Rhinolophus ferrumequinum: one gene and its partners. The protein of the gene in region 4 interacts with the protein of the main gene of each other region in a pairwise test. Links are inferred from orthologs where the notes say so. Each region holds a gene or a part of one and is shown on either strand. Other genes may lie near its edges.

Region 1 (8,014 bases), on a different chromosome or scaffold from region 4:
GTCTGGGCTGGATAAGTGAGCTAGAGACAGGCCTCAGAAGTACTTCAGCTCCCAGCTCTCCTCCACTGGGTTCCACAGCCATACTCTAGCCCACCACAGCACCATTCTATGCCAAGAGACACAAAGACAAGCACCAGCTCCTCCAGGGATCAGCGAGTAGGGACTGCAGGCAGTAGGAACCCAAGTTCCCTACTGAGAAGAGTGGCACCAGAAGGAAAGCTGGGAAGTCCAACTCAAGGGATGAGAAAGTTCACACTCCTCTCTACCAGGGCTTAATTCTGGCAAAAACAGAAGATAGGGAGGGCTTTCCAAAACCCATGCACATGAGGACACAAATTGGAGGGGATGAAAGCTAATCCACCCACACCTGGCATGGGCTCTCCCCCAAGGCACAGTACTCCCACCCCATCTTCTCCCTTCCCCCACCAGGTTCCCCACAGATCACACTTGTCACTCCCGCAGGACTGGATCCTGCCGTAATGTCAGTTACCCTGACCAACTGCTCACCCTTGCAAAGATGCACACAGAGGCTGTCAGAACTATCAACAGAACTTTATTCACTGGAAACCGAGCCAGAGAGACCCCTCAGGGAACTGCACGCCCCTAGGCCCTGGCCCCTACTTTGTTTGGACCCTAGTGATGTGCACAGTCTGCCCTCACCAATGCCAGGGAGACGCAAATAGAAGGGGAATGTCATTTTGATATGGGGAGTGAAAGGGATATGAGTAGAAATCTGGTTCTCTCTCCTGAGGCTCCTAGTGGAGCTGGGGTGCCAGAGGGTACATGGTCCCAGAGCCAGGTGCAGACACCCCACCCCTCCACCCCCCAGGGGTAAACTCTTGATCCCAGCTGTTGGATCAGGTTGGGAAGGAGCCTTGTAAGATTACGACAGGGAGAAGTGTTAGTTCTGAAGGCACCTGAGATACTACCCCCAAAACCTACCAAGCGATAGTTGTGACTGAAAGTAGAGGTTCAAGATCATTCCAAGGCCCTTGAGTTGCCAAAACACTCAAATGACACTGATGTGTTGTGGCTGCACAAACTGGGGAAACAAGGGGGAGGGGGCAGGGAGAGGAGAGGACCTGCAAATCCCCAACAGAAAAACCAGAAGCAGAGACAGGGAACCCCCGAGGCTGGCATCTGGGTGGGCCCTGGCAAGCTGGAGGGGAGTCCACAGCAAACAGTCTCAGGGTCTTGCATAGCAACACTCACCACCCTCAGAATCGCAGGGACCCACTAGGTAAAGAGAAGCTGTTACCCTGTCCCCACCCAGGTCACAGTCTTCCCGAGTATCCCATTGCAATGTCCTGGGTGTATGGCTTGGGGGCTTGGAATGACAGCCATGGGGGCAGGAGGAGATTCAGGCCAGGCCCGGGTATCAAGTGTTAATGTTGTCCTAGTACAGGTGGCTGTATGGAGCATGGAGCTGGAGAGGTGGGCAGGCAGGCAGTTTTCAGAGGTAGACATTGAGGGTCTGCAGAATGCCCCTGCGGCAGAGTGGACAGTTGCGGTGGTAGATGGGATGGCGCATCAGGATTTCAGTACAGGCCTGGCACAGGCACAGGTGCCGACAAGGGAGAAGCAGCACCGTCTTGCTCTGGTCCTGGCAGATGACACACTTCTTCCGCTCCTCTTGCTCCTTCAGCAACTTCCATGGGTCTTGCCCAGCTATAGACTCCTCATTGAGCCTCTCCCGGCCCCAGGCAGCAGTCACTCTGGCCATCCTGACTTCCTCCTCTTCTGCCTCTGATCTGGGCCCTGCTTCAGGAGGAGTGTCCTGTCGCCAGGTCCTGGCTGAGGGCACCCTTCTAGGGCCACCCCGAGGGGCCCCAGGTGCCCCTGCCCTGTTTGGCCAACTCGCCAGCTGGAGGCTGCGGCTCCAGACTCTGCTCCAGACTTGGCGCCAGGCCTCCAAGCCCAGTGCTAGGCGAGACAGTCGCACAACATCCTCTCGGAGCTGGTGGTAGGATGGCCGGGCATGGAGCTGACTGAGTGCCCGTGTGGCCAGCCTCATGGTAAGGTCTGGGTGCAACACAGTCACCGTCACTGCCAGCACACAAGCCAGTAGCACCAAGCCGGTGAGACTGACAAGCACAAAGCTGGCCAGGAGGCGGGCAGCTGAGGCCAGGAGCTCCAGTGCTAGTTGGCAGGGAGTCCAGAGGAGGATGGCCATGGCCACAGCGCTGCTGGAAATGTGAGCTAGGAAAGCAGCCATAACATCTGTCATCCTCCACAGCGGCCCCATGACTGCATCCCATAGGGCCAGCACCAGGGAGAAGAGGTTCTGAGTGCCAATGAGGCAAATGTTGACCAGGCTGTTGATTACATAGGCCACCAGGCTCATAGCGATGGTACAGATGTCACAGGCCTGGCGCAGCAAAGCATGGCCATTGGAGACCACATTGAGGACGCCCCGGTGTAGTATATCCCGGCTCCTTAGTGCCCCATGAGAGGCTAGGTGTCCCAGGAGCTTTAAACTCTCCAGGCCAGAGCAACAGCTGTACAGCAGGGTACACAAGGCCTGCAAGCTCCCACAGGTGAAACGGACCAAGGCTTCGATCAAGGCCAGCAGTGAAAGCAGGACCCCGCGACCCAAGTGCAGAAGACTAGTCAGTACCGTGTGTGGCAGGTTGTAGATGAAGGCCAGGAGCCAGGCCAGGGAAGCAAGGAGGGAGGACACCAGCAGGAAGTTGAGGTCCAACACCAAGGTCAGCACGTCCAGCACTAGGCCCACACCATTCACCACCAGGTACACAGCCTCCATCATATGGCTAAGGAGGTTAGTCCAAAGGAAGTCTGGCTCCTGGTTGACGGAGGTATCAAAGTTGCCAATATTTTGGGGGGTCGGGGATTAATTTGGAAGGAAAGTGAGCAGTTTCCAACCCAGGGAGAGGATCAAGAGTCAGACAGAAGTGGGTTAGAGGGAAGTGGCGTCTCCATGGAGGGAACGGGGGCCAGGTGCTGGTCCAGCAGTCTTGGTTTTGAAGGCGGGCTGTCTGGGAGGGAAGAGGCCAAACATCTCTAAGATGGAAGTGAGCCCGGGCTGGAGGACAGACTCAGCTTTGCAGGCCTGATGGTGGCGTACCACGGCCAAGCAATGAGTCAGACCGAGAGGAGACCCGGAACGGACCGGGCCGGGGCCGGGTGGGGGCGGCGCAGGCTGGGCGCAGGCTCGCGGTCCAGCTATGCAGGTGCCCTGTCCCCGCCCGGCCCCCGTCCTCTGGACTCGCAGCGCTTTGCGCCCAAAGGGGGAGTGGGAAAGGGAGTCAACCTCAGCAAACCCCACGTACGGCCTCCTCTCCGCTGGGCGCCGCCATCTTGTGTGCGAAGGGATGGAGCCAGAGGCGTGCCGAGGGGGAGGTACGACGAACTCGGGCCAATCGGCGAGAGTCAACCGCAGGGAACATCGAGCACTCATTGGTCCATTTGAACGGCGCCCAAACTTATTTACTTTCCAAAGAAAGGGGCAGAGACAGATTGAAATCTCTGCCCTTTTGAGGCGGTGATTGGTCAGTTGACAGGCAGGGGAGGAATATGCCGCCCCCGACACGAGCAGGATTTTGCTTGGGACTAAATATGGGAGCTGTTCTTTCTCTTGATCTGTGGGAGTGGTCTATTTAGGTGCGGGTTGGCGGTCACTGTCTCTGAGCTGGGTTCCGGAATTGCACCGCCTCCGCCTCGTCCTCAGGGTTTCTTCTCATCCTCCTCTATTCTTTCATTTATTCTCTTATTTACTGAGCTCCTACAAATGAACGGGGGATACAAAAAATGTTTAAGACGGGGCCTGCTATCAAGCAGTTCATAAGGGGAAACATTTTTATAGGAGATTCCCAAGATGCTGTTCCAAACTGTTTTCTCAAGCCCCATCAGGTATTCTCAGTATCCTCAGATGTCCTTGAGAAAAGGAGGCCACAGACCAGAAATAGCTCACCCTCCTACCCCAGTCCATATTACTTTGTTTGCTTGAACACTCTAATTAGACATCTGTGGCCTGGGAGGCTCCAGGTTCCTCAAGAAATCATCCTTTTCTTTAGTATTCAAAATATATTTGAAACCCCACCCCAAATATATTGTGAAGCCTGGTGGTATTCTCTGCTAAAGCGAAGGGTACTTGGGGGCTTATCCTTCCCCTGGTCCCCACTGCTTTAATTTCTTACTTGTAGTGAACTCTTCATCTCCACTGTGGCCTGGACTCCTGAAAGTGTCTGTCCCCCTTCACCCCTCCCTGAACACTGCCTGAATCCTTCATTCCCTAATGTTCCACTTATACAAAGCTGAGGTATTGACAAGAGATGTTCTAAATTAAATTACAGCTGTGGGAAAGTGAAAGAGACAGGAATAATAAATGGCAGGCCAATTAAAGGATCATATTCCTGAATATATATGTTGGCACTTTGAATCAACCTCCAGGTGTTTATTAGCAACCACTACCGCCACTGCATATGCATATGCATGAACTTTCAGGACTGTTACCTGTAACCAATCAAAAGTAGGAACTATTTCTTCCTTACAGATGGTGCTCCTATCATAGGACTGCCCCTCTTCACCTTATCCCACCCCCCTTATCTGTAGCTAATGTAAATTCTTTCAAAACAACTTATATCTTTCTTCCCCAAAACATAATGTATAAAAGCACTCATCAGCTCCAGGACTGTGGACATGCTTATCTTTTCTACTTAACCCTGCTGCTGGTGGTTTAAACTTCATGCCCCAAGACCTGGTCCCTTCTGGCTAATAATATGGCCCATAAACTCTTTCTTTTAAAAAGGTTTCCAGCCATGGAAGTTGTTTGTTTGTTTAACAGTATGAAGCAAATCTTTACTGAGGTAAGGGGTTCCCAATAGGGTTTACACTATACTGCAGAGCAAGGACTGCAGTTTCTAAAACTCCACTGGTTTTTCCCCTGGCCTCTCCCTAGACTCCAACTTCCCATTTTGTTACAATATTTTATTTTACACAGCAGTCTATCTCTACTGCCAACCCAATCTAAACTCTAACCACAAAATGCTGAGCTCTCTAAACAAAGGAAAATAATATAAAGATTCGTTTTAGCCTCCTGCCCAGATCATGGTCTGTTATGGTTATTCCTATTGATATTGTTTCTATTGTCCCACTGTGCATTTTTCCCCAATTTCAAATCTTGGAGAATATGCCCATTTCCCCTTAAAGATACTTGATCCCACCACCCCTAACATCTCCTCTTCAAAAATCTTACTTGTCCAGTGACTGCTGTTGTGAGAGATGCTATCTGGGAATAGAAGGTGTGGGAGCTTGGAGGTTAAGAGGTAGAATAAAACCATGAAGGAATGTCTAACTCAGGAGTTTTGCTTTGTAATATTGTATGTACCATAATTCTCCTCTTCATCTCCCTAGCAAGCATCTTCCTGCAACACTTGACACCAGTGACCACTTCCTCCATCCTTGGTCCCTGGACATTACCCTCTCCTGTATTCTTTCCGTTTCAGCCTTCTCCTCTACATGATGATTTTAAAATCTGTGTCTTCAGTCTGAATCTCTCTCAAAGTTCAGGTTTTGGCTGCTTCCTGAACACAGACAGCTCCCAGATATCTCACTGGTGCTTCAAACTCAATGAGTCCAAAATCAAACTCAGCAACCTTGCTGTGCCTGCACTGTGTGCAATTAACCAGCCAGATTTGCACACCAAGAAAGGCTTTTTTGGAGTTGGCAGGATCCTCTAATACAGTATTTCCATTATTTTGGTACCAAGGCCTCCCTTTTCAGTGCTCTGAGATATTACTCAGCTAAAGCCACCTTAAGTGAGCCACAACCTTTGACTCAGTTGGCAACCCATCTATGGGCAGGCAGAGGTTACCTGTGGTCAAAATTCTTGTGACAAATGAATTACTACAAAATATTCTTAAGCTAGAAACATAATGGCTGAGAATATCATGTGACCACAATGCAAAAGAAGTGTTGGGATGCGCCCCCCTTGGAAAAACCAGGGTGCTTCCCAGTGCCTAGAGGTTGTAAATCGCTGCTCCTTGAGGTGATCATGAAAACAATGGTTCGATTTTGATTCAAGAAGTATCTCTACTAACTAGATAATATTTCTTTCTCCTCCAAGACTGGGTTTCAGATAAAGCTGGTTCAAACCCACAGTTGCCCAAGCAGGGAGTCATCATCTATTTGCAGTCTGGAGAAGGAAGACTGGAGAGTGTTGATAGGAAGAACTCACACCAACTGACTTTAGGAGGAAGTTCAAATTGTTTAGTAGTGTGAGTCCCAGTGACTGTAAAGAAAATAAACCAGATTGTGAAGAAAACTGAATGCCTGGAGATACTATCCTTGCAGAATTCTATAATATAAGATGTAGTGGGATGAACTGAAGCCCTCAGGCCTTTATCCCCAAGGAACCTGCTGGAGCATCAGTTGGTTTCTGCTGCTGTGAGAAATGCTTTTTTGTTCTGCTAGGTGAGAGATGCTAGCTGGGAATAAAAGGGGTTTTTAGAGGTATGGGAGCTTGAAGATTAAGAGGTAAAATAAAACCATGAAGGAATATTTAATTCAGGAGTTTTGTTTTGTGATATTGTGTGTACTATAATTCTCCTCTTCATCTCCCCATCAAGCATTCAGTAAAATCTATGTTACCACCATGGTTTTAGAGTTGGATTTTTTCCTTTTTGATTTAATTTTGCTTTTTTTAAATATAAATTTTATTGGGGGACAGTGTGTTTCTCCAGGGCCCATCAGCTCCAAGTCGTTGTCCTTCAATCTAGTTGCGGAGGGCGCAGCTCAGTTCCAAGTCCAGTCACCATTTTCAATCTTTAATTGCAGGGGCCGCAGCCCACCATCCCGTGTGGGAATTGAACTGGCAACCATTATTGAGAGCTTGCACTCTAACCAACTGAGCCATCCGGCCACCCCTCTAGAAGCTCAGCAGGAGCTCATTGTCTTTAATCTAGTTGTGGAGGGCGCAGTTCACTGGCCCCTGTGGGAATCAAACTGGCAACCCTGTTGTTCAGAGCTCGCGCTCTAACCAACTGAGCCATCTGGCCGCCCCTAATTTTGCTTTTTAATTTTACAAATCATTTGTAGGGTCCCAAAGTCAGAGCTACATAAAAAGGTACATTCGTAGAAGGTTTGTTTTTATCCTGCCCCCTCCACTCTGTCCCCTCCCAGTATCACAAATCACAAACACACCAAAAAATATTTTCCTCAGATAATCAGGACCCAGGTCTTCACTGGTACAGCAGAACCCATAACCCTAAACACCAGTCTGGCAATAACTGTTTAGGCCCAGAGAGGCACTTCACCACATCTCATAACCTATATCCTGAAAACATGTGTTAATTGTCCAAACGCCATGAATATCTGTGGTTTATGCAGTGTGGATTTGAGCAGTTGAAGCACTTAGGATAAAAAAGGAATACATTAATTAACTAGTCAAATCCTCTTGCTTTTCTTCCTGTTACAATTTGTGCTTCCAAAGTACTCGTAAATTAACGCAACATTTGCAATGGTAGCTGAGGAACATCTGCAATATGAGATGTGACAATTAAGTTTGCAAACTCATCCTAGAAAAAGTGCTACATACCTCACTGCTGAATATCACTACGGTCGCCTTCGAAGTCCTCCCCTTGGGAAGCTATGCACCAATGCCAGCTCCTAGTCCACCCTTCAAAGCAATTTTGGAACTCTTTTTCTGGAATGGCCGTCAGAGCTGTCATTGTATTACCCTTGATGTCCTGAATGTCATCAAAATGTCTTCCTTTCAATATTTCCTTTATCTTCAGGTAAAGAAAGAAGTAATTGGGGGCCAGATCAGGTGAGTGGAGAGGGTGTTCCAATACAGTTATTTGTTTACCGGCGAAAAACTCCCTCACAGACAGTGCCGTGTGAGCTGGTGCATTGTCGTGATGCAAGAGCCATGAATTGTTGGTGAAAAGTTCAGGTCGTCTAACTTTTTCATGCAGCCCGTTCAGCACTTCCAAATAGTAAACTTGGTTAACTGTCCAGTTGGTACAAATTCATAATGAGTAATCCCTCTGATATC
Region 2 (7,593 bases), on a different chromosome or scaffold from region 4:
TCAAATATTTCCTCTAAAAAAGAGGCCCTCTCTAACCACTCAATCCATAGTAAAGCTCCACTTCCATTCATTCTCCATTACATAGTCCTATTTTCTCAAGGCACTAACCACTACCTAAAACTATTCTGTTTATTATCCGTTTCCCCCAGCTAGTGTTCACTCCACTAAGTGCAGAGTGCCTTCTTCACCGAAGACCAAGAACAATGCCAAGAACATGAGACATTCAATAAATACTTACCAAATGACTAAATGATAATGCAGTACCTCTATTAAAAACGTAAGCTCAGTAATATTTGTTTTTAAACATTTGTAGCTCACTCCTCATGTAATGGTTTAGAGTACTTGCAGAAACCTGGGCCAGCTATTTGCAAGAATCTGAGATACAGGAAAGAAAGGACAGAGGTGCGTGGCATTCAAATGTAATTCTGGACTTTTACTGAACAGTGATCATAGGTTTCTGAAAGAAAAGTTATTCGGGATGATTTAAAGAGCATTATCAAGAGTAAAATAAAGTTTCATTTTTTAGTATCATATAAGAGCTATTAAATCATGACTAATATCTACAATGGGACAGAACCATTACCTGGAACAACAAACATGGCTTCACCATAGTTTTCTTTTCCTAATGTACAGTATGTATCATGAAGGAATTTATACTCTCAGTATAGCATTTCTTTCTGGAGATTGGATCACGATGAATACAACAATAAACACCAGAAACACCTAACTAAAAATACAAATCATTAAATTTAAGACCTAGGGACAACTGGCTATCTAGCCGACACTTCTCATTTAAAAGTTGAGAAAGATCTGAAGCCCAGGATGGTTATCAATAGTTACAGATCTAATGACTAGCAAGCAAAGCTAGATCTAAAATCCCGATGTCCTGTCTCTAGCCCTATACTCTTTCATAACATGTCACCAATAGAATATTAATGTCAAGTTATAACATACTTTAATTACTACCATTTTTAGTATTGTCATCCCCCTCCTTTGAAATCCTAGCCCACTGGAATAAAAGTCAAAACAGAAACACATATAATTATGCTCTAAATAAACCATGTTACAGAAACTCTTCTTTGATAATAAAAGAAACATCTAAAAAAATCTAATTTGATTCAGTGAGATTTTTATTCCACATTGTAAAGTAAAAATGACTATTTAGGAATATCTGCTGACTATACCTTTGTTTTAGACATGTCGTAAACTGCCATTCTTGTATTTTAAAACATCACTATAGCTATTTTTCAATTATCTGTAGAAATAAAGTACTGAAGTAAAATTTGTCAAGTATAATGTATTTTTCACCAAAATGAGATTATATCCTTCTTCAAAAACCAATTCCGGTGACAGAACTAACATGCAAGTGACCAACAGACACCAAACAAAAGGAAAAAAGTGACGGAAGAATCCACACATATAAGATAGAGCACCCCTGATGAACAAGGAGAGACTCTTTCTAGTTTTTCATACAATATTGTTCAGACCGATTCATAAACACGCTCACTAGTTCTTAGAATACTACTCTGTATCTTAGGCAGCAAACAAATGAGCAAGAGAGATGTCATTTGTCCTAAGTTAAATGACAAGAGAGACAGACGAATGTAAAATAATACAAGGCTTTAAAAAAAAATTTTTTTTAAGATTCTTTTTAGAGTAAAGGGCTTCTTTCTCATCCTGTTTTGTCTCACAACCAAGGACTGTTTAGAATGAGAAACATGGTTTATTTATGACATGAAAATTTTTACTGAAATACATAGAGTAACAAACTATCAAAATGCAGATCTTCACCCTTATAAAGCTAAGTAAAACCATTATTATAGAACTTCTGTGTATTATTTAAATTACATTGTAACATTTGAAAGCAATGACACAACAAAAGTGGGAAAGGAAATGGAACTTTAGCTTTTCCCGTCTGTTCTTTTTAGTTGAAGATGTCCCTAAAACAAGAAAATTAAACATAAAATAACAAATGAAATAAAGTTTGGATTAAGTTAGGTTCAATAGGTGTAAGAACTATAAAGTCTGTTAGCTGGCATCTTACCACTCCAGAGTCCTAAATTCATACTGCACATAAATCAAGAAACAGGAAAGCATACAATACAATGAATGGAGTCATTCCACACTACAAACATGAACAAATTAAATGAATACCCTATACTTCCTGGTATTTTTTAAACGTTAAAACTTAGACTTGCGTTAAGAAGTATCTGTAAAGATCTATTATAACCTACTTAACAACTATTGTGAAAACCCTCTATTTCTGCCGTATAGAACAGCTATTTCCACTACAGCATTGTCACTGATTGATAAATTATCTAAGGAGAATAAGAATATCAAGCTTTTTTTTTTAATGACCAAGCCAACTCTATAGAAAATCTAACGCGTCTGTATTTCTGCTGTTCCGGGGACGTTCCCTTGATCACATAAGAAGGCAATTCCCCAACCGTGAAGGCTGACTTAGCGCCCTCCAACACCCCGGGTGCGGGTTACCTTCATCACTCCATTGTCAAATCGCACACCCACGCCTCGGTCCTCAGCCCCCATCCTAAGACTCTAGGTAGAGTCGAAAAAGAAATCCCCTTACCCACATTCCCTTACTGTGTGGGGTGTGGGTGTGTCTGTAGACGAATGCTTCGCTCAAACACAATTAGATCTTCTGCGGAGACCCAGACCCTAAGTCATTACGCAGCCAGCAATCACCGGCCGGTCGCCGACCCCAGCCTTCCGCGGCCGCAGCCCTTCCTCTTTCTCCCCTCCAGGCCGGCCCCTCCCCCGTTGCGCGCACGCGCGGCCTCCAATCGATCCCCTCCCCCCTGGCCCCCTCACCTTAATCATTAGCCACCCTCTCTTCCCAGGGTCCTGGAATCACTGGCCCAGGAAGGCAGACAGGAGATATAAGGGCGGAAAAGGATGTGTCGAGAGCCAATGATCTGCGCTTCAGATCTCGGCCTAATAGGCCCCTATAGTAAAGAGCAGCGTCTGTCACCGCCACCAAAACTGTACGAGCTGCAGCGCCTGGTTCGGCCCAGCTCACCCGGCTTGGGTTCAGATGCCTAACTTGGTCCCACAGGAACTCCTTCCCCGAAGCTGCGGGCGTTTCTTTGCTGCACAGACAGAAAACCTCGCCACCGTCGCCGCCACTACTGCTGTTCTGCCGCTACCGTCGCCGCCGCCGCCTTACCAATCCCTCCTCTACCAAGCAAGCACGACACTCCGAGGCTTTACGACAATTCGGAAAGTGAGAGCGCTGTAGCCTTCACGCCTCTATTAACATGTTTGTTTCTGCGCTTGCTCAGATTCTTGTTTCTCACTGCCCCGCCCCTTCCTTCCCGGCCCTCCCCCTTTGTACTCGCTTTATCGGTCTGTTCGTGAAGCTGAATGGTGTCCTGAAGCTTGTAACAGTATTTTATTTTCCCTGGTGATTGTGCGTTCGGTATTTAAGCAAAACACTGACTACATAAGTCTTAGCTAATTTTTTCGTAACTAAAAATTACAACTAACTACAGAATTATTGACCATATTTACGGTACAATTAAACAAAAACATCATGGTTTAGTGTTTAATGACAAATGATACCCAAATCATACTCGCTGATGACAAAGATCATGGCACCTAACTGTTAAGATGAATCTGCTTCCAGAATCAGATAAAAAGTGGTCATAGATATCCTGAGAACTGTCTGTGCAATCATACACGCCTCCTTATTTCATGAAAATCAGTGGACAGCAAAAGTTTCATTATGTGCATTAGGAGGATGTAGGCTTTGGAATCAGACTTCCTTTCAAATCCCAGGGATACCAATTAGCTGTCTGATGTATTAGTCTTTTATAAATCTATTTCCACAAAAAAAAAAAGTCAAATACACCTCAATTTAGAAAAAGCATATGTAAAACAAAAAATTCTCAATTTCCTCCTCTATAAATTGAGATAATATTTACCTCAAAGGGTTTTTTTTGTGAGATAAAATACATTCTATATAATGCTTCAGACATTATTTACCAATTAAGTGTTTAATAAGTATTAATTCCTTTTGTCATAAACTTTTTCTCAATACCTTTTTTGTTCACTCATGTTCTCAATTTTGTTCAGTGAAGAAAATATTTTAAAATAATAAGAAGAAAGGATAGCAGATTGTGTGCGGAAACTAGAAGAGCACTGTACTAGGAATTTTCCTCAATCCTCCTCTTTTCTCACTCTAAATGTAAAATTCTGTCTGGACTTCTCATCTACTGCCATGGTTTTAACTGTTATCGACTCTTAACTTCTCAGAGTTGTACATTTCCAGACCTACTGTTCCTATATTTCCAGACCTAACATTTTTTCTAAAGCTCTTGCCAGCTTTTCTAAAGCTGTTCTCCTCAATAAAGTAGGTTCTAGCCACATATAGTTGTTGAGCATGTGAAATGTAGCTGGTACAAATTGAGAAATGCTGTAAGTGAAAACCATATATATTCAATTTTAAAGATACAATATAAACATTGTAAAAATCTCAATAATTGTTAATGTTGATTACGTGTTGAAATAATATTTTGGATATATTGGGTTAAATCAGTGGTTCCAAGCCTGGATGATTTTGCCTCTCCCCCCAGGACATTCAGCAATATCTGGAGACATTTTGGTTTTCACAACTTAGGGGGGGGGGGGTAGCTACTGGCATCTACTAACAAGAGGCCCAGGGATGCTGCTAAACATCCTACAATGCACAGGAGAGCTCGCCACAACAAAGAATCACCTGGCCCAAAATGTTAATAGCACAGTTGAGAAACCCCAGGGTTAAATAAAATATACTATTAAAATTAATTTTACCTGTTTCTTTCACTTTTTAAAAAATGGCTACTAGAAATTACATTTGTAGCTCACATTATATATCTATTGGACAGCACAGACTGATCTAAACCCATATGGCTGTTTGTTATATATGTCATTTCCACTTTAATCTCCCACAAGCATCTCTAACACATCATGTCAAAAATAATAAATAAATAAACAAACAAATAAATAAATGGAGGTATATTGTATTTACACCAGATCCATCTCAGCCTTTCTTGCCTCAGTCAACAGGACCAAGTTATCTAACTAGAAACCCCAAGGTCATCTTTGATTACTCCCTCTTCCTCACTCTCTACCTCTAATCAATCTATTATATAAGTCCTTCCATGTGTGCCTCTCAAATATCTCAAATATCAAAAATCAACCCATTCCTCTCCATACTCTGCACTAGTCTAGGTCTTTAGTATTCTGTTTAACAAACATTTATCAAGTACTTAGAATGTGCTAGACATTGTGCTGGGCACTGTGAGTACTAAATAAATAATCACTGCCTTACTTGCAGTGTTTTATGAGACCCAGAAAGCAAATCTATTATTTACACTGTCATGTGGAAGGGATAGGATGGTGTAATAGTGCTCTGAGAATACAAAGGTAGAACACAGTAGTCAAACCAGCAGGATATTTAAACTACAGTGATGTTTAAACTAAATTTTGCAACATTAATAAAAATAGTTAAATAAAACAACTAAAGGGCATTCGAGGCAGAAAGATCAGCACATGCTAAGGTACAGAATCCTGTACCTGAAACAGCATGAAGCAAATTCTCTACTAGGAGCTACTGAATGTATCTTGGGGAAATTATCAAGAGTTGCGAGAAAAAAAAGTAGATAGAAATGGACTAACTTAAGTAAGATTGTGTTTGCTAGGATAAGGTATTAGAACAATTTTATACTTAAAATACTGGGAGCCATTAAAGGAAATCAATCAGAGCAATAATAGATTTGACTATTAGAGATCCCATTTATAAACCAAATAGAGGGTGGATTGGAGAGGAGCAAGAGTAAAGGAGTGAAGACCAGTTGGAATGGCAGGTAAAAGTGAGGAGGGTGGTGGAAATGAGAATGAAAAGGCACAGATTCAAGAGATAAGAAGACTTAATAACTAATTGGATATATGGGGTGGTAGTGCCATTTAATAAAGAAACACAGGCTTGCAAAACCCAACTTTTTGGGTTTGGGACTTTTGGTTGGGGTCAGCATGAGGAAAAAGGTTCAGAGAAAGAAAACAACTACTCCTTTATTGGGCAAGTTGAGTTTGAGGTATCTAATATTTACTCAAAGTAAAGATTCCAGTAAGCTATTGGATATATGGGTCTGGAGCTCAAAAAAGAGGTCTGGACTGAAGACAGAGATTTGGACTCTAACTTCTATGTGATAGCTGAATCGAAATTTTTGAATGAAGTCACCCAGAGTATAAGTGAGAAGAGACAGATATCTGGGGAAGTCTGATATTTTAAGAGTCGAAGAATGAAAAGAAGTTCCAGAAGTATATGGATAGGCCAGAGCAAAGGGAGAAAAACCAAGAGAAGTAGGAAATAGGCCAAGTAAGAAAAAGAGTTTCAGTATCAAAGTGTGTTATCGACAATATGAACTGTCCATTAATTTGGCAATAAGGATATCTGTAAACAAGAGCAGCTTCAGCAACTGTCCTATATTTTAGAACGGGATTTCAGCTGGGGTGATTTTGACCCACAGGGGTTATTTAACAATGTCCACAGATATTTTGGAAAGACGCTACTAGCATCTAGTGAATATAGGTCAGGGATGCTGCTAAACATCCTGCAATGCACAGAACAGCCCCTCACAACAAAGATTGATCTGGTCCAAAATGCCAATATTAAGTTGAGAAACCCTGGTTTAGAAAGGACTGAGCAGTGTAGTTAGACAATGACCAGTACTTTTCATGAAATTGGTAGTAAATGGAAAAAGATAGGACACATATCTAGAAGGATAGAAATGAAGGGAAACACGTCAGCATAGAAAGAGAGATGAAAGATAATGAAAATAAAGGGATGCTCCATGGAGGCACAGGAAATGGGATTCAAAGCTCAGATGGAAGAACTAGCCTTGGATAGAAGAAAGGAGAGTCCTTTCATTGAAACAGGTGAGGAGGAGGAGGAAGTGATTGTACAAATGAATTAAGTGTGTTAGCTTCAGGGGGAACATTGAGGACTTGGCTCATTGAATGACCTTGATTTCTCTGTGAAATGTGAGGTAAGGCCATCTGCTAAGATAACAGGTTTTTGAAATGGCGGGGTGGAGAGTAATTAGAAGAGAGAGATTTTAAAAATCAGAATAGTCACTAACATGACGGCAGGGCGGTTATTAGATGGGCAACAAATCAAAGGCGGGAAGCCCAGAGCAGAAAAGGCGTGAGACTGAGAAAACAGGTGAAATGAGGTTGTATTTAGGGGAATAATGGTAGATTATTGGGGTGGGAGATCTCTCTCACCTGAATTACATACAATAATTTCTTGATTTCTATGCTGCAGCTCCCACCACTATCACCATACCACTCCCGATTTAACCTTAAACCACTATCAGAATATGGCAGAAACTGCTTGGGACACTAAGTTGCTTAAAATCCTTCAAGGACTCTCCATCACCATCAGCATAAAGACCTAAGTCCTTAGCTTGGCAAATAAAGCTCTTCAAAATTCAGATTCTGCAGTGCTATTTCATACCACCCCTTCACACCCTGTTCCCTGCCCCCGCACTTAGACTTCTCAAATTTCTTATAGTTCTCCAGAAAACAATGTGC
Region 3 (8,281 bases), on a different chromosome or scaffold from region 4:
AAATCATGCATTCCAATTCTCTACATGCTAAATGTGGAATAGCTTTTAAATGAGCTCATGATTAACTGACATGTTTGACTGCCTTCTGTGTTCCGGGTTTGTTTATAAATGAGAGCCCTCTTTTGTATTGTGTAACTACAGTATTGTGAGGTTATTTTCCCTGAGTAATCCGAGTAGTGCATATTCTATATACAACTACTAAGTGGTACTAGAAAACAATTCAATAGGTTGTGAGGAAAAATACGGAAAAAGTCTTACTCAGATGTTTTAAATCATTGTTAGCATTGATATCCCTTTGAAGAAAAGTGAAATTTGTTTTTTTCATAAGTGATGAAGACTTGTGATTTTTTAAAAAGTAGATAATAAAATGGCATTATGATAATTCTGTATATGAATTTGTACTTATAACAGCAGATCTGGATTTTTACTATTGTCTTAACTTGTAACTAGCACAGTGGTTTGGTTATTACTTTGGGTATTTAAGGGTTCCATGAAGTTAGCATTTTATTTGGATAAAACCACCAAATTAGCCAGTCCATTTTTTTTTCTTCCATGCGTAATTAGAAGTGAGGTCCTCCAGATTCAGCAGGCCAGCATGTAGTCAGTTTAGAATTCCCTTTCTTAAGTGATGTGACTCTTAGACTCTCAGGTTTTTAATGATTATTTTTTAAGTACCTGCTCAGTCGCTTGAGATGAAATGCTTGGAGCAGCTTTTCCACATTGGAGTTCCTCAAACTTAATGTTTTTACTAGCTCATAGTGTTTGGAACAGTACATGCCATCGCTAAGACTATTTCAGAGAGTGTAATTTCGTATTTCGCATGGCCAGAGAAGGCATAGTGTTTTTTTTACTGTAAGACTCATTTTCTATAATTATTCTGTTTGTTTGCTATCATTTATTATTTGGGTTAAACTGGACTCACTTCAGTTTCCCTTTGTTGTTTAAATATGTGATGAGAAACCTAATAATGTCATTGACTTGAGCCATAAAACACATTTTAATATTAGCTTGTTTTTGTGTGAAAAAACAGACTAAAATGTAAGTAAGTCTAGATTAAGCCAGTTTAGATGTAATTCGTATTTTAGTTATGGATTGTATCGTAAGACAAATTGGGAAAATGTATTATGCTGTTCTGTTGAGGGAAAACAGTGTATTTAAAATTTAAGCTTTTGGTTACTGTGCTTACATCATAGAATACAGGCATCATTTATAGTTTAGCTTTGAGAATTTTTCTTGTATTAAGTTTATGGGAAATGTATAAAAAACTGGAGTTTTGGTTATATTTTTATATTTGTAAAGGTCGGATTATAATGGTCACTGTTCTTTTTTTAAAAATTTCATTTTACTGTCATTTCAACTAAAAAAATTAAAACAATGATAAAACAATGACTCTGTAATTGTGTGTGTGGCTGCTAACCTTAGTATGTCATCAGAAGTCCTGAATGGTTCTTTGTCATTGTCAGTGGCCAGAGGCCATTCGTTAAGAGAAAGGTTGGCATCCTAGCAAGGGCCTGAAGACCTGAGCCGTCAGTGTTGCCCTCCCCTCGCACTCCTCCATTGTGTGTGTTAGGAGTGTTCCTAAGCAGACTCAGTATCCTGCAGTGTGAAGGGGTCACACTGGATTTGGAACCAAAGGACAGAAGGACGGACGGACGGATGGATGGGGTCTACCTATCTATTGAGAAGTTATTTTACCACACAGGTGTGTCATTATATCATTGGGGACTTCGTTTCTTCACCTATAAAGAGATTGTTGACTCATAGTTTTTTTCTCAAACTTACCTGGAAGTCATGTTCTGTGACACTATGCTTGCTGCTTGTGTAATACTAATTTCAGCATCTTAAATAGAAACAACACACCCAAAATAGAATATATGTGTAATAAAACCATAGTCTTGAAGCTTTATATCTGAACAAAAGTTGAAGAAAACCTGATAAAGTTACTGCAAAGTTCTGAAAACTTGACTACTTGTCTATAGGTAGTTCATAGTAGCCACCAAAGAGCTATGAATATTCTGAAAAGAAAAGCTAAAAATTGAAAGTATACCCATTTGTGTTTTCCATATAAACTTGAAAAGTTGGTTATTTTATCCTCTTCTGCTGGATTTCGTAGTGGAACACTGTGGTCCAGCTAATGAAATCAGAATTCCATGCGAGATACATTTAAGGCTACTGGATTAGATAAGGAAGTTCACTTCCTAGGACGCTGAGAATTTTAAAACTACTCAGTCTTTCTCACAGGACAGTGAAAATCAAATGAGATCATGAAGGGTTTCAGATATTTTAAAAAATGAAAGCAGTAATGTATGTAGGTATGAATCTTACTCCACATAAATTCTGGTTTCTCTGAAATGACATTTATTTCTGTTAAATCTAGCCACCATCTCACAAAGATGGCAGGAAATTCAGTCTTTTCATTGGCAATGGGGCTACCTACCCAAAGTCTCACAAGAGTCAATCCAGAAGGCATAAATGGTACTCTGAGATGAAGATGGGGGTGGGGAGAGCTCGTTTTCATTGTGTACCCCACTGATACGTTCTTGTGCAAGTTGGAACGCCCCTTCAAGTCTGGTGCAGTTGCCTTCCTGCCACCCTTGGGCCTCAACTGACAGGTAGCCCCTTAAACCTGTGGTCCAGCCTTCCTGGTCACACCCTTTATCCCTCTGTCTTGCCTCCTCCCCTGGTCCTCTGATGGAGTGGGATCCAGTCCGAAGAACCAGTTGACTTTAGAAGTGGGTAATGTCCTTGCCAAAAAAAATCCTTCAAAGAAGGATATGCAAAAGCCTCCTTGGAGTGGGAGAGGAAAATTTTTAGTAGAACAAATATCCTAGTAAAATATCCAGACACAAACCTTTGAAATCTTTTAAAATGCAAATAAAAAATAACCTTATATAGTTGGGTTAATTTCACCTATTCTCATATTGAATCCTCAGAAAGTTTAAGCCTCTAAAAGTTTAAGACTAATTTAGACTATAGTTTTTATGTATTCAGAAGCAAAAGTAAAGAGTTGCTATTAAACACTTTACAAAGTTATTCCAGAAAACAGGTTGCCTAAAGTTCTTTTAACACTTTGAAAGTAGTGATTATATAATTCAAAGGACTGCAGCACTTTGAAATTCAACGTGGTGGAATATTGTAATATAATATGGGCAGATCTATCATCAGCTGTCTCATGGTGACAGGACAAGTTTGGTGTGGCATTTTGTAACTATTGTGATTTGGACTGAATATAAATCATCTCAGTGTGGTTTAGAAATTATGGGGACTCAAACTACAACAGTTACTTCCCTGGAAAATTACCATTTTTTCCAAATAAAGCTTTATTTTACCAATAAAGTTGAAAGTTTAGCATTTTAATTAAATGGCAGTGGGGAGAACCATGGGGAACTGAAGTCTAATATAGACTTCATGACTGTGTGTGTGTGAACCACTTGCCCTCTGCCAAAAGCTGAACTGTTGTGTTCCATCACAGGCCCTTTAATAGGATGTTTCTAAAAATTTCCAAGTGGATGGCAATACCTTAAGAGATCTTTTTTGTTTTCTAATTAATAGATTTTTGAACTATTAGGCATAAAAGACCTTGAAGATAATATAGTCCTTTTCTTTTTGAAAGTTTATTAGATGCAACAGATACATACTGAGCACCTACCATGGGCCAGGCACTTACAGGCCTTTGGGATACAATGAAGAATAAGACCCCCAAGGTCATGCTTTTGTTTGGCAGCACTTTTTTTTTTTTAACAGCTTTATTGAGCTGTAATTCACAAATTGAGATCTATCTCACCATTTAAAGTGTGCAATGAAATGATTTTTAGTATATTCAGTTGTGCAACCATCACCACAGATTTAGAACATTTTCATCATTAAGCTTTTACCCCCCAGGTCCCTCATCTCCCTATCCCTAAGCAACCCTTAATCTATGCCTATTCTGGACATTTCATATTAATGGAATCACAACATGTGGCCCTTTGGTCTGGCTGCTTTCACTTAGCACGGTTTAAAGGTTTGTCCAGGTTGCAGCATATCAGTACTTCGCTCATTTTTATAGCGGAATGAAACTGCATTGTATCCCTTATCTATGGATTCATCATTTAATGAACATTAGGGTTGTTTCCACCCTTGGCTATTAACAATGCTGCTATCAACATTTGTGTACAAGTTCTGTGCGGACCCATGTTTTCATTTCTTTGGGTACACACCTAGGAGTGGAATTGCTACGTCAAATGGTCACTCTTACGTTGAACTTTTTCAGGAACTGACAGACTATTTTCCAAAGTACATGCACCATTTTACATTCCTACCTGGTGTATGAAGGAACACATTTTTACTTCTTGCTGAACTAGGTTCGTCTTAGACTCTGCTCGAGACTACTAGTAAGCAGCAGAAACTTGACAGCTTTTTACTGGCGAGAAATTCACGACTTGATTAATACTTTCTTTTGGGATCAGGGCCTCTATTACTTCCTCTATTATTCCCGTCTCTTTTGTCCATCGGGGAAGCTGCTAGGCCCACAGGTGTGCTCAAGAATAACCTACTTATGGGGGTTAAAGGTAACGAAGGGGCAAGGGGCCAGACACGCCTGGTGGCCCGGGTCCCTGCATCCTACAAACGGGCCACACAGCTTGGGTCTGACCGCCCGTCAGTGCCGTCGGGCCTGGGTGGCGCGCTTCAGCTCGGACCCGGCGGGTGCCCCATGGGTCCGCGGCCCAGCTGAGCTGGGCAGTCGGCGGAGGATAATGCTGGGTGCCGGGCCCCAGGGCCTGCCGCAGCGGCCTTCCCTGGCCGGGCCGCGGCGCGGCCGCTGGGGGCGGGGGACGGAGGCCGCGCCCCCGCTCCCATCCCGCCCGCACCCGGCAGGAGGCGACGGCCCGCCCCGAGCCAGCCGAGGCTCTTCCGCGCCGGCAGGGGCAGCAGCGGGAGCGGCGCGAGCGGTCAGGAGCGGCCCGGCCCGGCCCGGCGCGGCAGCGGCAGCGGCAGCAGCTGCAGCTACGCAAGAGCCCGTGGGCGCCGTTCGCGAGGCCGCTGCAGGGGCCCGGCCGCAAAGCGGGGAGGCCTGCGGGCTGGAGGGCGCCGCTGCCGCCATGCCGCTGCTCTTCCTCGAGCGCTTCCCTTGGCCCAGCCTCCGCACCTACACGGGCCTCAGCGGCCTGGCTCTGCTCGGCTCCATCGTCAGCGCCTACCGCTCCCTCAGCCCGCCCGAGGCCGAGGCCGGACCCGGGCCGGGCGAGCGGGAGCCGATAACGGCCCCGGTGCAGCCAGATCCGGCCGCGGTCGCCCAGCTGAGCGCCGGGGGACCCGGGGCCCGCGACGTGGCCCAGTACCTGCTCTCCGACAGCCTGTTCGTGTGGGTAAGCGAGGCTGTCCGGGCCGCGGTGGAGGAGCGGGGCGGGTGGCGGGGGCCGCCATGTCACCCATTATCTGTGGGGGGCGTGGCTGGGGCAAGGGTCCCCCCACTGACCTCCGTGTGCGAGGCGGGGGGGGGGCGGGGTCCCACCCGCGAGCGCGCCGCTGAAGGAGACTGTGAGGGGTTGGGGTCGCCGCTGGGTGGGAAGCAGATCTGCTGGGGTCATGAGGAGGGGCAGCCGGAAGGGCGGGCAGAGGTTGAGCGCTGGACCAAGGGACTTGAGAAAGTGGTCGGGGCGCCAGAGGTCGCGGCGGGAACCAGGGGGAGGAGAAGACAGATGGAGGGAGAGGAAGTAAAGTGCTCGCGGGGAGTAAAAGGTGGGAGCAGAGTCGGGGTTTTGGGGGACCGTGGGGAAGGAAACTGGAAGACCTCTAAGAGGAGGTTCCCAGGGAAAGACTTATTACAATTGTGAAGGGGGTTGAGTTGGTTGTCAAGCCCGGGAACGTTGTCAGCGGGTTTCAGGGAAGAGGAGGGGGCCGAGACGGAATTCAGGTGTTGAGTGTGGGAGAATTGGGGGCCTTTGGGTGTGTTTGGATATTCCTGTTCGGAGAGAGGCTGTCTCCCACAACTTTTTTTTTTGCCATTTAATATGTGATGGTCCTCTCTGGGTCAAACGAACATACAAACCCTGCTTCCTTCCCTGTCGCTTTTACGTGATGATTCATGACGGTTTCCTTTGCTGTCTGAAGACAGCAAAACATTCGGACTCAAGGGGCGGCTCATCATTTAAACTCGGAATTTCTTCTTTTAGTGGTCCATTTTAAAACACGGTTTCCAGTGTGTCTGTCAATGCAAGATAAGCACCATTTAACAAGGCAGAAATGCTGGTTTTGCTTGTTAGAACAGATAACTTCCGGCTGCGCAGATCAACAGTTACTTTGGCTAAAGAACTTTGCTTCCACCTTGGCTTTGAATGCCTCTTATGTAAACCCCACAGTGATCAGGAAAGTTGCTCCAGGATTTCAGTGTGTCACCTGGGTTTACTGTGGCGTCTTGGGTCTTGTCTCCGCCCGCAAGTTCCCATTTGGGGTTGAGAGTAGGCTGTAAATGACTGAGATTAATATTCCAAGTGTATAGAATGATAGGCAACTCATTTGTTATAATTAATCCCACTGTGCTTCATCAGGAGGCAGTGGGATTTGCGAACTCTGTGGGCTGTGGATTAAGTCTCCTGGTCCTTCTGATGAAGAGATTAGCAGAAGGCAGTGGAGGGGAAAGTTCCATTCCTGCACTTTTGTGTAAAGCTGAACCATACAGAACCGGAAAAGGGAGAAGAGAAGGAATTCCATTCACATCTCTTACTTAATTTCATATCTATTTTTGCGTTTGAGTTAGCAGGTAAACGACTTAAAGTGATGTGAAGAGTGCTTTTGCCAAATGTTAAGATTACAATGTAGTTTTGATTTTTTTTAAGTGTATATAAATAAGTGTATATAAATATAAATAAGCCTTTGAGAAGGAACCACTATGGTCTTTATAAATAACAACTACTAGTATTGTTTCGTGTTTTTTTCCCCCTAGTTTTTTTTTTACAAAACCCAGTTTCAAATTCCAATGTGAACACCTCTTCATAAAACAAACATAAAGCTGTTGATTTTTTTCCTGTGAAAATTATTTTAAGAGAATTTCCTTTTCTCCCCGGCTCTTTGAAGCCTTGCCTTATGCAAGTTTATTGTTTCTTCCTGTCTGTTGATGATTTGTTCCTTTCTCAGTTGACCTTCTATACTGTTTTTCTTCCATCTTTCTTCTGTGGTTTTACACTTTCATCTTGGCCCTCCTTGGTTTCTGAGACTCCAGTATGCATCCTAAGTTTTCCTCTTCACTCATTACATAGTTTCTGCTTTAGCAGCGGAGCAGGAGTCACAGTCTGGAAGACTTCCTCCTGGCCCGACAGATAGCATTTTTGAGTGAATAGATGGCAGGGCCTTTGTCAAAATGGATCCTTTTTGCTCCCTGCCCCAAAACATTCAGATTCCATTTTGTAAAAACAAAGCAAGATAAAACAAAACTGATCTTTCTGCCAGTTTGCAAATCCTGTTATCTATTGTTTGGCATATTGGAATCTCTAAAACTACCTTCGGAGAGCACAACATAGATTAATATGTCTGATGGCATCTCAGGAGGTTTTTGATTAATAAACCCAATTCAAAACCTTTCAAAGGTACTGTTTGAGGCACTCTGGAGGGCATAGCTGTGAACGCTTTCCCCCTACCCTGAAAAGCAATCCATACACAAGTATGGCAAAATTTGATAAGTGGTAATAGACATATAAAGAAAATGTGGAGTTTGGAGGAGAGAGAAACTGACCTGAGGAAGGATGCATGGGAGGTGGTATTTGAACCCCGTCTTGGAAGGTGGGCAGAATCTCAGCAAGCGACATAGGGCATTCCAGGTAGAGAAAACAGCCTAGGACGCTCAGACTGGTGCGTGGACAGGGCATAAACTGGGCTGTTAAAATAAAGCTCTGTTGGCTCCTCTGATTTCACGGTGAGGTTGGGAGGGTGAAGGGGAGACCCAGGAGGTGGGGGGAAATGACCCTGCTGTGTGAGAGAAAGGGAGAGGCCAGCAGCCCCTCTGAGGTATATTTCTCCAAGTGTGGATCTCTGGCAACCTGGTTTGTTGTCACGGGGGTGCTTGTAAAATGTAGTTTCTCAGGCTCTGCCTGAGGATCAGTTTCAGGGAGAAGGACGGAGCCTTGGATCTTCATTTTGATTAATGTCCTTGGCGATTTTAGGCACTCTCAATCAGATTCTACTGGTTGAGAATCTGATTAGGAAGAGGATGGGGTGTGGGGCTAATGTTAGAGTGTGTAAAGCTTCCCTGCAGTGCTAAGGAGTATGGATGTTGTTCTGTGGCCTTGGGTTTAAGTGGGAGGGA
Region 4 (7,384 bases):
ATGTTTAGAATCACATAAAAGTTCACTCTAATAATGCTTTTGCAGTTTGGGGATATCAAAATTAAATGCAGATTTTTTTCTTTTCTCCTAACTCCTGCCAATTTTAAATACCAACATGAGCCCACCATTCTCTAAAAACGGTTTCTTAAAACAAAATCTAACCATAATCTTACTTGGTGATTTGTGACTTTGCTCTAGGAGGAAAAAAAGAGAAAAAAACGGGAATGAATATCTCCAAGCCTCACATCAGTTTGAAAGTCACCATATCTTGAACTGGGTATGAAAGAACAACTCCAGCAATGTTCTAGAGCAGTTTCTCAGCATTACAGGTGTGCTGGGACACTGACCGTCTCCAACCACTCTCACTGTCTAGCCAGATGCTTCCAACCTCCACAACCCCACCCACCTCAGCATGCCAGTCAAAAATTATTTTCCCCGTGTACCACAACCGGAAAAAAGGTTGGGAGGCACGGATAGGGTACACTAAAGCAGGTATAACCTCAGCTGTAAAATATATACTCTCCGAGTATAAATATTTTTTGAACGAGAAATTCAAAGTCTATCCTTAATTGATGTTATTGATCTTAAAGACTAATTTATTTCATTTTTATCAACTCAAGTAGTCAAATCCTATGTTACATTTGTATAACATGCATGTTTTTAAAATACAGTTCCTGGTAGAGCTTAAGTAACCTCTTCAGCAGCAGTAATATCCTGGTGTAAGAAATCTGAAAACTTTTTAGATAAAGGCAGGGTCAGAGACGCATTCATGTATGGCACATCTTTTCCCAAGCACTCTAACTGAAACCCCAAAATATCCATTTCCTAACCTCCTTCCACACTTTTTTCCCACAGCACTATCACCTTCTAACACAGGACACAATTAACTTAAATATTTTGTTCTTCTCTGACTTCCCCAACTAGACTGTTAACATCCACAAGGGCAGAAATCTTTTCTGCTTTTGTTCACTTCTCCATCGCCAGCAATTCGATGAGTATCTGACAGAGTGGGCCCTCAAAAAATAACTGATGAGCGAATGAACAAATGTCATAATTTGGCTGCAATTTTATGTGTAACAGTTATTTCGGGAAAAAAGTTCAACTTTGCTATTAAGATGGTCAGGAAAAAAAATGTGTTCACCAAAGACAGAAGAACCACATTGGAAGGAGTGCTGTGTTTCAAAAAGCTGGATTTATCTATATTAAAATAGTTTTCAAGATACTACCAGAAAATCTGTACGAGATGTTTTTAAAATACAAATAAAAGACTCAGTTTTACTTGAATTAAAACACCAGGGAACACCAGTTTTCCATTCCTCTCATCAGAAGACACAAAGAAATAAAAGGCGATAAGACAAAGGTAGTACTTGGGGCACAGAAAAATGCAGTATTACACTGGCAAGTATTTTTCCCCATTGTTTAAGTCGTCACATAAAATTCAAGATTATCAACATTAAGTTCCATACTGACTCATTTTTCTCTTAAAAACTGAAATCTGCCTTTTCCAGACTGGAAGCCTAAATCTAACTAGCTAATAAGTTATCCCTATTATTTTCTTGTGAAATATAATCACAAATATTATGAATAGTAAGCTTAATTTTTAGTCTTAAAACAGTTTTACTCTTAACACAAATAATCTTAAATTGGTCGTATAGCCCATCTACTGTTCAACGAGTATTTCACAGTTCCTTTTTTGGTCTCAAATGACGAAACTTCTCTAACGTCTCTGGGGAGATTAGTGTAAAGTATGTTTCCTGAAATTGTTCTTGTTTTTTCCCTGCACCATTTCGCTGACATCTTTTCAACGAGGAATGTTATATACATTTTTTTCCAATTCTCCAGGAAAGTCCAGAGGGAGAAGCAAAAGTCAAAAGAATACCGTGTGGCAAACAGGTTGAAAGGGGATAACCCAAAAGCACGTAAGTAAATGTGAAGCAAATACGTGCATAAGAGGAAGATGATGCAATAAAAGAGATAAAAGAAAACCACTGTTATGCTTAGAAAGGAGGGAAAAAAAAACAAAAACGGAGGGGTGTATAGGGAGGCTTGCTTATTCTTCTAAAAACAAAAGCACAAAATCCTTTCGAGAAAAACTCTAAAAAGCGCTCGGCTGACACTCCAGACGGGAGTTCTGCCTTCTCTTCCTATGTCTTTTGATACAGGTAGTCTTCATCTGTAAATCAAATGCAGGCCATAGATAATGCGGAGTCAATCTCTAAAACACTGCACTTGTGGTTGCCATCTTTGCCAGAAAAAAAAAAAACCAACTCCTCGAATTTGAAAAAAAGGGTTACATTAAGTTGGAAAGCCAGAAAACCATGCATTGCCAAGCCAGGTAGCTATGACACGAGTTAACAAACACCTTCTACCAAACTAAGGTTCCACTAGAGATCAGGGGAAGAAGGGCAAAGGGCTGTAGTCGGACCGCGACTGCATGGGTGGGGCACCCTAGGGGGAAAAAAAAAATTGAGGGCGAGCTCTCTATCCCGGGAGCTCTAAGGGGGTCGGTGACTCGGCTCTCCGGGACATTGCATATTAGGAGGCGATGATGTCGACGGGCGAAGGGCAGCTTCGGGGAGAGTGAGAAAGTGGGCTGCTGTTCGTTGAGAGTGAGGAGGCTGGCAGAGGAAGGTACCCAAGTGGCAAAGGATTAAGAGTCAAAGGGAAGAGAGCCGGGGGCCGCGCAGTGAGAGAGGCCGGCGTGGGAGGCCTCAGGAGAGGCCGCCGAGAGCCCTTGCATCCAGCCGTCTTTTCCCGGAACGCGTTTTCAGCTCCCCCACACTCAGCCCCTCTCAGGGCCGCCCTTCCCTGCGCGACAACGGCGAGAGCAGCTGTTTCCGCCAGGCCGGGGACGGCGGAGGAAAAGGCATCCCTGGGTCCGGCGGGCAGGCCTGCAGCGGCCGTCTGTCCGAGCGGGACACGGCTCCCAGACTACTGCCGCCGAGCCAACGTCAAACTTTGCCCTTCCCTTCCCTTCGCCTTCTTTATCCCCCAACTTCCCGGCCGGCTGGTGTCCGCTTCGGCCAACCGATACCGCCCCCCCCCCCCACGTCCTTCTTCTCGCCGCTTCTCACCCCTCCCCAACGCCCTAAGGCTGGGGAAGGACTCGCCCCCAGGGCCGCTCCCGAGCCCGCCGGGGTGCCCTCGAGTCCCAGATGCCGCCCCCGACGGAACGCTCCCATCCTCTCCGCGGCTCCCTCGCCCGCCCAGATGCTGCAAACTCCTCTCACCTGCATTGACGCCATGATGGAACCATCCCCCCCGAGGGCTGGCGAGGCCAGAGACGCAGGGGGCGGAGCTGCCGTGCTTACGTCACGCCGTGGGGGCCCAGCATCCCGGGCGCGGGAGGCGGGGCCTCCGAGGGATGGGCGTGGCGTAAGCGGGATTGGCTGGCGCGCTGGGCCCCCGCGGGGAGGGGCGGGCGGGGCGCCGTGACCCGCGCTGTCCGTGTCACCCGTTTCATCCCGCTCCCTGGCGCCGGCTGTGAGCCCACCCGCCATGCGGATCGCTTGGGAAACGCGGGTCCCGTTCTGACCTGGCCACAGTTGTTTTTATTTGTCTGTCTGTGTCTCGAGATCTTGATGATGTCCGGACTGTGAGTTTTTTTGTTTTGTTTTGTTTTGTTCTGTTTTGTTTTTCCAACCACAGGTGTATGGTTTACAGATTTTCCCTTTCGGATGTATGTTTTTTCCACACTACGGCGCCCACTTTCAGACCCTTGGGGCAAGACAAAACTTTCCGCGGGGCTTTTTTGACTTTTCGAATCTGAAGGGCTTCTCATATTCCTATTCGGGGAAGAGAGACACAGATTTCCTTGTACAATGGGATGAGAATTGAGAGCAGAACAGCATTTTGCTTTAAAGACAAGGGTAGATTTGTAGCGCTGTAACTTGCCCAAAAGGGAAGGGAAAATTTTGAAGTTTTTTCGTCTGTGTGCGATTTCCGCCCCTTCACTCCATCCCCTCCATTTAAAATTCACGTGTGTAGCAGTAATAGTTACGGTTGTCACAGCATTGGCATTTGATGAGACATTTGCCCCTAGACATGAATTTCTTTTTTTAGTACCACCGTCACGTTATAATATACACATATCTTCTATCACATCCAAACTTCAATCTGTCTCATGGTGGGCAGTTTTGTGGTCATTCGACCTAGGGATGTATCTGAGTAGGGAAAGCTCAACATACGGAATTTATTCTGGGAATGCACCAGTTCTGCCAACATTTATCAGAAGCCACGTTTTAAAAAAGCTATTACAGAATTCAGGATGTTGGTTTACAAGAGGAAAATGGTAGCCGAAGGCTTGCATCTCGTGTTCTAGCTCTAAAAAATTAAGGTAGCTGACACATAGAAAACTTTTACTTTACCAGAATGAAAGCTTCAAATCTTTCATTAATTCGGAGATCTTTTAGAAATTTCTAGAAGTTAATATTTAAATATAAGAGCAGTGTAGGCTATCATCCTTTCCACTCTTAAGCTAGATTATGTTCTTTGAAATTCCCTAACGTAAAGTGTGTTCAAAAAGGAAAAAGATCTTAAAATACACCAATTATTCTATGTTATAATAATAAACACACTATTCTTCATCAGTACAGAGGAAGTTATATTGGTTTACTTTTTTCTCTCAGACTTCCACCCTCATTGCCAGAAATGGGCTGGCTTTCCCTTTGTTGTGCGAAACGACTGTGTTCTTAAGGAATGTTTGGAGGCTCTTGGCAACCAAGAATCACCCCGAAGCACATCAGGTGTTAGCCCAGTGTGTTGGCAACATTTCAACTGTGAGTAAAACCCATATATTCCAACGAAAGAGGAAAACTTTTCCAGATTTATTTTCTTCTGGAGATTTTTTTATTCCTATGATGTCAGAAAATGGCTCCAGAAGATCAGATTTTACCATCTAAGGTTCACTGTTTAAAAGCTAATTCTCCCTAAGGTGTAAGTGACATCAGGTGACCCCGCAAAGCATTATGACATCATCAGAACCAACAACCTGCCATTACAAAGACTAATAAGGGGTTACAGGAATCTTGACAGTCCTCACAGTGAAATCAACATCTGGTCCCTTGAATTTTCTGTGTGTTAAAAAGGATCGTAATAGAGGGGAAAGTCAGTACCAGGCTTATCTTTCCTAGGAAATATTAAATAGTACATAATTACTTCACTATCTTCTTCATTCTTTCAGTAATATATAATAGAAAGTCCCAATGTACTCGGGATAAAATAGTGACCTTCAGATGGGGTTGGGACATGTAATTATAGCCAAAGGGCATGAAATTTTTATATCTAAAACACTTGATTACACAATGTTTGAAGACTAGGCTCACATCTCATTTCTTTAGAGTGGGGCTTACTATCAGATAGGCAAAAGGTAAAATGTCTGACAATCCCAAAAGTGGGAGAGGAAGTGGAGCTTTCATAAACTCTGTAGGAAAGAAATTGGTACAATCACTTTGTAAACAGTTCAGCAACAGTAAAGTTAAAACTTCCCATACCTTTAAAGATTCTTTTTAATAGCATAAATTGCAATAAAAGATATTTAAGGGACATATTAAACAAATGTTAACCTTGTTTGGATCCTGGTTCAAACAAACCAACTGTAAAAAGATATTTCTGAGATAACTGGAAGAAATTTAAATATAAAATGGATATTAGATGATACAAAGGAATAATTATTATTTTGTTAGATTGGATAATGATATTCATTTTTAAATTTACACAGCAATTAGAAATGGCCACCAGGTTAGAGGAGGTGATTCTCTCTTATCTCAGAAACTACCCCCACCTCTGCCTCCCTGGAAGAAAAAAAAAAAAAAAAACCAGGATAGACCCAAGCTGTGTATGTGCCTGAAGTTTTCCCTTTCAAGGAAAGGCACAGCCTGTGATAGAGGATTAAAAGCAGCTGCATTTTCTGGCAGAAAACTGGAAGATATATGGGAAACCAAACAGTCATAGTAACCTGAAGGACCCATGTGTTAAAAAGGCACTAGACTTGCAATCAAAAGGCCTAGATTTGAATCATAACTCTGCTACTTCTCAGTTCTGTGACCTGGAGTTGGTCATTTAAACTTCTCTGGGCCTTAGTTTTGTCATCTGTAAAATGGAGATAAAAATGCCAGCATATGGATTGGGGAGGAGTCTTGATGAGACCATGTGTAAAGGAACTTCATGAAGTGCACAGCACCACGTAGATGAGACGCGGTACCTACTTTATCTTCCAGATGACTCTGTTCTTTCTTCTGTGGGCAGATGTGATGTTGGCTAGAGATGAGAAGTGGGGTATATGGCAGTGACTGAGAAATACCCATACCAAGATCCCCAAATTTCCCATCACTGTGAGCACAGAAGAGTCTGGGCAGACACTCTGCTCTGAACTGAGCCTGCCATTGATAAACTTGCAAGGTCGGGATGCTGCCTCTCCCCACCCCATCCAGTGTCCTCACCCACATGGGGCATCCTCCCAGACCTGCCCTTAGTAAGGGCAATAATGATAACAGCTGTCTTGGATTGAATATTTGCATGTGCCACCATAAGAGGCACTTGTATTTCCTGTATTATTTAATCTTTAAAACAGAACTATGAGGTACATAAACCGATTCCCACATTCTAGGGAAGGAAACAGGCTTCGAGAGGCCGGGGAATTTGCCAGACACCCACCTTATGAACAGCAGAATCAGAATTCTACCTTGGGAACTCGAACTCCATGACTCTACAGATTGAATTATTTAACTAGTACACAATCCTGTCCTTCCAATTCCATTTCTTAATGACCCATATGAATGAGGTGTGAAAATAAAAGTAACTCTAATCAAATCGATTCATTTTAAACTATGAAACTTAACAGGCAAGGTGGATTTTACATTTCACCCAGAATATCTGATGCCCCCAAATATATCTAATTGGTGAATATTCATAATTTGACAAAATATAAAAAAAAAGGAAAAGTGGCAATTTTGACCAAAAAGCATATATTAAATGGCAGGCACTGGGGATATAAAGATGAGTAACATACAGTCCCCATGTTCACATTGCTTACAATCAGGATTTTGATACAAAAGCTACTGACTGGCCATGAGGGGATCATAAGGGAGGGTCACGTGGTCTTGCCTAGGACCTGAAGATGGCTTCCTGGAAGAGCCAAGGCCTGAGCAGAGGAGAAAGGGGAGAAGAGGCTTTCCAGGCAGAGGGAGCGTTAACCATGTAATTGGTGTTTACAGAGGATGACAATTTGTTATTGCCCAACAAACTGATGGAAGGAGGTGGAAGACAGGCAGGCAAGACCTGGTCACGGCAGGCTTGGTTGGCAGACTTTACCTTAGAAACCATGTGACAAAGTTGAGGTCTTTTCAAATGGGAAGTGGTGAGGCCAGATTTGTGTTTTGGAATG

The links.
Region 1: the proteins of UBE2W (region 4) and RNF26 interact in a two-hybrid assay, tested with the Homo sapiens proteins (2 studies listed by BioGRID and IntAct). The link is inferred for Rhinolophus ferrumequinum from reciprocal best matches to the Homo sapiens genes UBE2W and RNF26.
Region 2: the proteins of UBE2W (region 4) and RNF111 interact in a two-hybrid assay, tested with the Homo sapiens proteins (2 studies listed by BioGRID and IntAct). The link is inferred for Rhinolophus ferrumequinum from reciprocal best matches to the Homo sapiens genes UBE2W and RNF111.
Region 3: the proteins of UBE2W (region 4) and AMFR interact in a two-hybrid assay, tested with the Homo sapiens proteins (2 studies listed by BioGRID and IntAct). The link is inferred for Rhinolophus ferrumequinum from reciprocal best matches to the Homo sapiens genes UBE2W and AMFR.

Annotation. Positions count from the first base shown.
Region 1 is NC_046294.1:88,565,709-88,573,722, reverse strand, and holds RNF26 (E3 ubiquitin-protein ligase RNF26), read right to left. Parts: upstream 3,068-8,014; 5' UTR 2,768-3,067; coding exon 1,454-2,767; 3' UTR 537-1,453; downstream 1-536. UniProt on the Homo sapiens protein: E3 ubiquitin-protein ligase that plays a key role in endosome organization by retaining vesicles in the perinuclear cloud.
Region 2 is NC_046289.1:50,671,687-50,679,279, forward strand, and holds the start of RNF111 (E3 ubiquitin-protein ligase Arkadia), read right to left. Parts: upstream 3,213-7,593; 5' UTR 3,038-3,212; exon of another isoform or gene 2,830-3,037; intron 1-2,829. UniProt on the Homo sapiens protein: E3 ubiquitin-protein ligase. Required for mesoderm patterning during embryonic development. Acts as an enhancer of the transcriptional responses of the SMAD2/SMAD3 effectors, which are activated downstream of BMP.
Region 3 is NC_046298.1:9,398,558-9,406,838, reverse strand, and holds the start of AMFR (E3 ubiquitin-protein ligase AMFR), read left to right. Parts: upstream 1-4,887; 5' UTR 4,888-5,081; coding exon 5,082-5,348; intron 5,349-8,281. UniProt on the Homo sapiens protein: E3 ubiquitin-protein ligase that mediates the polyubiquitination of lysine and cysteine residues on target proteins, such as CD3D, CYP3A4, CFTR, INSIG1, SOAT2/ACAT2 and APOB for proteasomal degradation.
Region 4 is NC_046297.1:8,840,823-8,848,206, reverse strand, and holds the start of UBE2W (ubiquitin-conjugating enzyme E2 W), read right to left. Parts: upstream 3,325-7,384; 5' UTR 3,246-3,324; coding exon 3,231-3,245; intron 1-3,230. UniProt on the Homo sapiens protein: Accepts ubiquitin from the E1 complex and catalyzes its covalent attachment to other proteins.